Linked DNA regions of Mus musculus: region 2 is reported to be linked to region 1. The links are microRNA targets in miRTarBase. Many come from high-throughput screens and were not tested one by one. Region 1 holds a microRNA gene; the other region holds the end of a gene's coding sequence.

Region 1 (4,000 bases):
TAGGTGAGAAATTATCTAACAAAAATAACCAGGATTTATTCAGCATCAGCCACTTCCATAACCAAGTTTACTCTGGTTAATAAAGCTCATTGCCCATCAGGCTTCTGGCATATACTTAAGATGCGTAACTCTTGTAGTATTGCTCCCCACCGCAGTTCTCCACAACTAACAGAAAACTGTTGAAAAGTAGTGGCAAACATTTGCAAAAACAAACAAAATCCCAAGCTTATTATAAGCATGAATATGTGATGGAAATTTATCAAGCCAAGTCTTTCCAACCATTAAGAAGTCACCCAAACTGAGTTTGCCAATGTATTTTGTCTATGTCCAAGAGGTGCACTTATATCCAACAGAGGAGCTGCTGAAAATCAAACTTAGTGTTTAGTTTAGGGGTGGGCTGGAAAATTCAACCACCATTTGAAATTGTCTTAAAAAAAAAAAAGACCACCAAAAATAGATTCACTAAATTTATTTTAAAAATCATAAAACGTTTCTTACAAAAGAGCATTACATTCTGCACACTGCTCTGAACAAATGCCAGGGACATGTGGACTATTACTTTCCTCCCTGTCCCACCCCCCAATGTTACAGTGACCACAAAGTAAGGTGTTCACAATAATTACATGGGGGGAATTTTTTTTAAAACCACCAACAATGAACAAAAAATAAAAGTCACTCACTCTGCTGCTGTTTCAAAATTTCAATGTTAGTTTTTGCATGCCCTCCCCCCAACCCTGTTTGTAAGGAACTAAAACATTACATCTGGTGAACAGCAAAGATTTCACTACACCTCAAATGCAGAACACCTATGAAGCAGAGGAATGTTGGCTTTTTAAACAGAAGCAGATAAAAAAAAAAAGATGCAGGACTCCTTCAGTTCTTCACTAGTCTTAGAAAAACTTTCCAGAATACTGCTTCACACTATAAAAAAGAAAAAATATCTTGCATTAGAATCCTTCAACATCTGCATACTGCTTCACACTATAAAAGAAAAGAAAAAAAAAGTACGAATTAGAATTTTTGTTCAAAACATCTTAATCAACATTAAGACAATTTCAATGATAAATTAAAATGATAAACATGTCCATTACAATTAGAAGAACTTTTAAAGAGCAATAGCAACTATAAATTAAAGCAATGTAAAACTCAAGAAAATGTTAATAGACAGTAGTAGTGCAGGGTTAAGAAAATGAAACTGGAAGCTGTTAATACTTGGTAGGAAAGACAAAGGAACATGAGGAAGGTGTGAAATGCTGCGTTTGACAGCACCATCATTATCTGTCCTGTAGAGGTGGCCTGTGCCATATGGCAGACTGTGATTTGTTGTCGTTTTAGTTATCTAAAAACAACAAAATCACTAGTCTTCCACACAGAACTAGGCCAACATCCAATGTCTCTTCTACATTTTCTACAGGCTCTGTATAAATTATTACAAGTGGTGGTTTTGGCAGCAGTTTTCACCAGAGAAATGAGAAGTTTGCTTGGTTAAGGCTTCTTCCAGCAAGATTAGTATTGAATGTCTTCATTTTAGTAAGAAAACAGAAGAAAATTAAGGCAGAGCTATTAATTAGAATATTTAGAAGTTAGATTCCCCAAGTGACGGAAACACCATGGTTTCTAAAAGAAGAATCAATTGGGAAGAAAAGCTTTTTAAAGGTTTTAGTATGTGTACACTAACATAAAGCTAAGGGTCAACTGACCTGTTCTGCAGCAAATACTGTGCGTTCTGTATCTGGTCCTGTGTTCCTGTAATGGTAATGATCCGATCTTCAGATCCTTCTAAAGGTTCATCAATTTTGATTGATGCTCCAGATTCATGACGAATTTGTTTAATCCGCTGACCACCTTTGCCAATAATAGATCCAGCCAACTGAAAAGATTGTAAGTGTTTATGATGACTTGAAAGAAATTTTACTCCCTTTTATCAATGACAAAATGTAATAACTTTATAGTAATTTATTTAGAACGTCAGTCTTAAATTCCTGAAATAAATTTTACATATGTGTATTTTAAGAACCCCAAACTGTCTTCTTTTTGTCACTAAGTATCATTTGATCTAAGGTTCAAAATACCCCCTCCATTAAGTTCTTAAACATTATCTCAATCCTAAACTGGAAGTCTTTGTCCAAGAAGCAGCAACCAATACAAGTAAGTAAATTCCCCGAATTAAAAATACTCTAAATTAAAAATACTTACATCTTTGGGAATAGTTACTTGTGTAGTGATAATAGGTCCGCCAAGATCACCATATGAGCCACGGCCCCCTGCATAAGAATAGTCTGATTTAAATAATGAGCAGCAAGTTCACATAAAAATAAGATTGAAATAATGTTTGATTTCAAAAAGAAGAAACTTACCATATCCAGAACCACCCTAAAAACAAAAGAAAAAAAATTACTTAATATTTCTAAAATATCACAGAGCTTAGAAAAGCAAAGTCCTCCCATACCACCCATACCCAGTTTATCCAGGAAATAAACTGAATCAAGAAATTACAGGGGTAGGGAGGGGAGACCAATTATTATGGACAGTCAAGGTAAATTACCAATATGTACATTATTAACATTATTGATACTCAACCTGTGGTTCATAAGCCATTTGCCATTCTGATGGGCTCCATGTGTCAATTGCAGAATCCCAAGTTTCATCAGCACTGAACCCAACCTGTATTACATACATAAATACCAAACTTTTAGAGGGCTGTGAAAATAATTTCAATTTTAAAAAAGCTCTTAGTACTACAGTCTCACACAAATGTTTGGTTATAAGGTCTCTGAAAACACACATGCCGCCCTTATAAATCAAAATTCTTACCATGCCATCATAGCGGTCTCCAGGCCTTCCTCTTCTGTCATAAGCCATTAGATCTCTGCAAGCACATGTTGCAATGTTTACATGGTCACATTAAAATCACCCCCCCACACACACACACTGCTAAGTGCAGCCTCTTTTATTAATGTTAATGTTTGGATAAAAACTTACCCCCCTCTGGGTGGTGGTGGAGGAGGAAGAGGCAGATTCCGGGCTCTGCTGCCACCCCGGCCACCTCGACCAGGTGGTGGTGGTGGAGGTCCTCGACGAGGGCTCATATCATCATAATCTCTTCTAGAAGGAGGCATGGGACGCCCACCCCGACCAGGAGGCATTCTGTCAAAACCACCTCTTCCCCTCATGGGGAATCCCACAGGTCGTCCTCGGCGGTCATCAAACATCATTGTAAAACCACCATAATCATAGGTCTCATCATAAAAGTTGGGATCATAAGGTTGTGCACGTCCTTTGATGGGAGACTAAAAACAGAAACACAGCACCTTAAAGCCTGAAGAAAAATAGCTCTGGTCCTATCAATTAACCCATCTCAACCATTATTAACTCAAAAGGTAACAGAGGCAGGGACACAATGAAGCAATGATGGAAAGGATTTCTAACATACTGACCGGGGGGCGGGGAGGTGGATGTGGGTCAGAGACAGAAGGATCATTACCCCAGATATCTCTGTAAGAAGTGGGTAACATGGCACTACAGGGACCTTTGAGTAAGGACCAAAGGCACTATATTAAAGGAGGCAATAAAAAACTTGCAGGGAGATGTCAAAATTAATGGTGTGAATACTGTCTTATTTCTGGTAGTTAGATGAAACTGAATGAAATAAAAATATCCCAAAGATACCTCAGATATAAGGTCAAGGATGATCTTGATGCATTCTACAACCCTATCAGGTTTTCCTCCAATAAGAACAACTCTGTCAGTAGAGTGAGGGCAGCACTCCTGGAAAAGCTTGATTGTTGTCTGAGTGTTCTATAACATTTACAAAAGAGAAAACCCATTAGAAGTTGTTAGCACATCAAATAAAATCAAGGCTCCCTAAGTTCAGATATTTGAACCCAATTACTCTCAATACAGAATGTGGTCAACTACACAGGACCTAGAAATGGTGAGAATTTAACAAAACTTAGATTTGTTACTTTAAGACCCAACTAAATAGTGATGAGGGATCTGA
Region 2 (4,533 bases), not on the chromosome of region 1:
CTGCCATTTTGTGCTAAGGTGTTCAAGCCTCCTGGATGCTTGAAAGTAGATAGATAAGACCAATACCATGCCGCCTGTCCTCCCTATAGGCAGCTGGGTCATTGATCACCATTTCTTTGTCTCCCCCACCCCCCAACTTGCTGGCCTGCAGGCTTCGCGGCGGGGGCTTTACTTTGTTCTTTGTTACTTCTGATTATGGTAGAATGCCCGTGAAGTCCAGGCTGCTCCCCGCTGTGCCCGAGGTCCTCGACGCCCTCCTCGCCCTGCAGGCAGCCTCCCACCATCCACTTTGCCTACTTTGACCCTAACTCCCCTTCGTCTCCCCTGTGCTTCCTTGCAGAACTCCAAGATGGGAGGCAAGCTGAGCAAGAAGAAGAAGGGCTACAATGTGAACGACGAGAAGGCCAAGGACAAAGACAAGAAGGCCGAAGGCGCGGGCACCGAGGAGGAGGGGACCCCGAAGGAGAGCGAACCCCAGGCGGCCGCCGACGCCACCGAGGTCAAGGAGAGCACGGAGGAGAAGCCCAAGGACGCGGCGGACGGCGAGGCCAAGGCAGAGGAGAAGGAGGCCGACAAGGCAGCGGCGGCCAAGGAGGAGGCGCCCAAGGCCGAGCCCGAGAAGAGCGAGGGCGCCGCGGAGGAGCAGCCCGAGCCCGCGCCGGCGCCCGAGCAGGAGGCGGCCGCGCCCGGGCCCGCTGCGGGCGGCGAGGCCCCCAAGGCCGGCGAAGCGAGCGCCGAGAGCACGGGCGCGGCCGACGGCGCGGCCCCGGAGGAGGGCGAGGCCAAAAAGACTGAGGCTCCCGCCGCCGCCGGCCCCGAGGCGAAAAGCGACGCGGCCCCGGCGGCTTCAGACTCTAAACCTAGCAGCGCGGAGCCCGCGCCCTCGTCCAAGGAGACGCCCGCCGCCTCCGAGGCGCCCAGTTCCGCGGCCAAGGCCCCCGCGCCCGCCGCGCCCGCAGCCGCCGAGCCCCAGGCCGAGGCACCCGCCGCCGCCGCCAGCTCCGAGCAAAGCGTGGCCGTCAAAGAGTAACCGGGACAGCCAACCAGAACCGACGCCACTCGCAAACGACCTGTCTTCTCACGCTCTCTCTCTCTCTGTTTCTCACTCTGTCCTCTCTCTGTCTCTATCCTATACTAACTTGTTTCAAATTGGAAGTGAGGATATGTATTGCCCAAGGGATTAAATAAACAAAAGAAAAGAAAAGAGAAAAAAAATAAAGAGGATGTGTCCCATCAGGGGAGGGAGGGGGCGGGGAGAATCCAAATAGTATTTTTGTGGGGAAATATCTAATATACCTTCAGTCAACTTGACCAGTCAGTCCTGGATTTTCGAGATCATTGTCTGAAAGTACATCATCTGTACCCTGAACCGCTGTCCCCTAGGCTCCATCCTTAAAAACCCCAGCATCTCTCCCGCGATGCAGCTGGGGAGGGAGGCGTTTGATTCTGCCCACAGGACCAGTGCCAAGGCAATCAGATCTTTATGAAAGCAGTATTTTCTGTGTTTCCTTTTTAATTTACAGCCTTTTTCTTAATTTTTTTGGTATTTTTTTAAACGTTCGTGGATGAATGCCAACTTTCAGACGGAGCCCACTTAGCTTGTCCACATGTATCTCAATGCCAACCCTCCATTTTTCCTCTCCAGATATTTTTGGGAGTGACAAACATTCTCTCATCATACTTAGCCTACCTAGATTTCTCACGACGAGTAATGCATGTCCGTGGTTGGGTGCACCTGTAGTTCTGTTTATTGGTCAGTGGAAATGAAAATAAAAAAAAATAAAAAATAAAAAAAAAAGAAGTCTGCGTTCACTGCAGCGCCAGTTTTCTTCCATCTGTGTCTCAGACACCAACACACCACCCATTGGAAAAATGGAAAAAAAATAAATAAAAAAATAAAAAAAATGTACAATGGATGCATTGAAATTATATGTAATTGTATAAATGGTGCAACAGTAATAAAGTTAAACAATTAAAAAGTAGTAACTGGCTTTTGGCTTGATTTTCCCCTCCTTTTCGGTAATGTAGGTGTCTTTTCCTGAGTATAATTGAACTGAGGTAAGACATAGGATTCTCAAGTGTTCTTGACTAATATAGGTATAAACAAAACACCCCAAACAGTGGAATCCAAGACCACTATCCCCTAAGATGAACAGGAAAAACCGTCTAAGGATTCACACCCAACCATGGTGTGGGTGTGGTTATTAATGCTTTAAGAGAGTGAATATTGTGAATGAAATATTAAATGACAACCAAGAGCTGTGTCTTGAAGGCTGGGAAGAATATTATAATCTTTGAGAAACATCCTATGTGTATAAATTGTGAAGCGGTGGGCCAGCATCTAGGCCTGCCCTGCCTGCAGGTCAATTGGTACCAGAGGTAGGCGAGGGACCCGAACGCCGTGATGGGTTAATAGCCAGGAGAAAGCTGCTTCCACCTTACCCAGACCTCACTTGCTTTGGCTTCAAGGGAGCATAAACTTGTGATCTGTAAGACAAGATCCCCCTTGATAGCTGAAATATGTAGAAGTTTGTGCACGTGCCAGCTAGCAATGTATACCACAGGCAGATGTGCTAAGCCGTCACCCTTTGATGACCCCATTACTGGAATAGTGACCGTCTGTGTGCTCAGGGTCCCCCTGTGCCACACATGGGGAAAGAGGCTGGAGAAAGGTGGCTTTTGTACAGACTCGGCATGCACATCAGTTCTTGAGGGTAAGAAAGGAGGTGATTGTCTCTCGAGTCTCTCAGAGAGTTGCTTGGGTGTTTTCCAATCCGATACTGGAAACCACAAAAAAAAAAAAAAAGAAAAAAAGAAAGAAAGAAAGAAAGAAAGAAAGAAAGAAAGAAAGAAAGAAAGAAAGAAAGGAAAGAAAGAAAGAAAGAGACCTAGCCATGGCAAAGATTTCTCAGACCTGAATCGGAGAGAAATGCCCAGAAAAATACATGACAGGTTCATCTTTTAGAGTGTCAGTTTCCGGTAGAATTTGTGAAGGCTGTGAAATGCGCATGTGCACATGGTCCTGTGGGTCCGAGTCAGCCTGATTCTATTCCTGTGTGCTGCATACAGAGGAGAGAGAACCCCTCTAGATGTTTTCTGAGTATCTGGAATCAGTACCACACCTGGAGAAGCAGAAATGGTGGAGTTGGACTAGCTTAATGGACTTTCTGAGTTCAGGCCGTGCTACGATCACGTCTAGCCCTTGGACCTCTTGCTTTTACAGTGAAATGATTTTGAACTCTTACTGCATGACAGCACAGCACACATGAATATGTAAAAGCATTAGCCACCAGCCAACTATATTAGGTAAGAAAAACAGCAGGGAATATCCAGAGCAAGTGCAGTTGCCCTCAAATATATAAAATCATGTGGGGGCGGGGTTGTGTATTACGGAGGCAACAGACTCAACAAACTGGAAGATGTGTATAAGATTACAAATTATCTTTAAAATGAAAAATACTTATTTTTGCAAAATGAATTAAATTTATCAACTACTGTGGAGTAGTTACGAATATTAAATGTCATTCATTTATTGCTGTGAAACATGCTTTGGTGGAAGTAATATTTAACAGACTGACTTTCTCCACCTACCATCTTAATTAAAGTGTTCACAGAATTTGGGGTGAGAAGAGCCAACAGGGGTTCCTCAGGATAACATTTACCATCCAGAGTCACTGCATGGGATACGTGAAGTAAGGTGACACACTTCAGCTTATGCGCTGAAGGGTGTGGCATCATTAAAATCTGAGCTGCATCTAGTCATTTATTTCCTAACGGTTATACATTAGAGCACTGGACCTCGAGTTCCTTACCAAGGCAGGCAATGGAACAACTAAACATCCACAATGTAACAACTAAAATCCACCACCCGATTGGCTTGAATGGAGCATCAGTTTCATAGTGTTCCTTCTAGATGTTAGTTTGACATACAACAAACTCCAATTATTTCATTTAGTGGAGAAAATATCTATTTAGAAACTTACCAATTTATTTTTTATTTTTATCTACATCCCAATTACTGTCCCCACTCCCAGCGGTCCTTCCCCATCCCCCCTCCTTTCTCCTCTGAGAGGGCGGGAGCCCCTTAAATACCCCCCCCCGCCCCCCAGTGCATCAAGTCTCTGCCAAAGCAAGCACATTCGCTCCCACTGAGGCCAGATGAGGCAACCCTGTTGGGGAACAGATACCACAGTCAGGTTACAGCTTTAGGGACAGCCTCGCCTCCAGTTGTTGGGGGAGGGGCTACATGGAGACTGAGCTGCACAAATGTTACATATACCCCAGGGGCCTTTGGCATTGTTTCAGGATTGGTGAGATCTATCACCATCATTTAGATTCAGTCCAGCCTTTGGACAGTAACATTGCAGGTGTATTTGATCTGATATCTATTTTAACTAATTTGCACAATATTGAAAACTGGATTCTTAGGGGACAATCTTAAATATGTATCATGGTGGCGTGGCGTCATCAGTAGTTTTGGGATTCACACTAGGAGTGTTTTGTTTGTTTGTTTGTTTGCTTGACACAGTCCTA

Evidence for each region. The annotated mature microRNA mmu-miR-7a-1-3p reads CAACAAAUCACAGUCUGCCAUA and lies in region 1 at 1,305-1,326, opposite strand. An mRNA with a match to its seed (bases 2 to 7 or 8) in the 3' UTR can be bound and repressed. Matches are read on the target gene's strand: a 7mer-m8 pairs with bases 2 to 8, a 7mer-A1 pairs with bases 2 to 7 and ends in A, and an 8mer does both.
Region 2: miRTarBase lists Basp1 as a target of mmu-miR-7a-1-3p. The part of its 3' UTR that is shown has no 7-base or 8-base seed match.

Annotation. Positions count from the first base shown.
Region 1 is chr13:58,391,496-58,395,495 of GRCm38, forward strand. Mir7-1 (microRNA 7-1) reads right to left here and starts at 1,391; the gene lies at 1,284-1,391. It overlaps Hnrnpk (heterogeneous nuclear ribonucleoprotein K), which reads right to left. Exons shown (of 16, transcript NM_025279.3): 9 at 3,670-3,798; 10 at 2,983-3,290; 11 at 2,815-2,869; 12 at 2,581-2,664; 13 at 2,358-2,373; 14 at 2,197-2,279; 15 at 1,701-1,870; 16 at 1-921. The coding sequence ends at 891.
Region 2 is chr15:25,360,726-25,365,258 of GRCm38, reverse strand. It overlaps Basp1 (brain abundant, membrane attached signal protein 1), which reads left to right. Exons shown (of 2, transcript NM_027395.2): 2 at 341-1,982. The coding sequence starts at 350. The coding sequence ends at 1,030. Among named protein-coding and RNA genes, the nearest start is that of Gm36555, 31 kb to the right of the region's middle.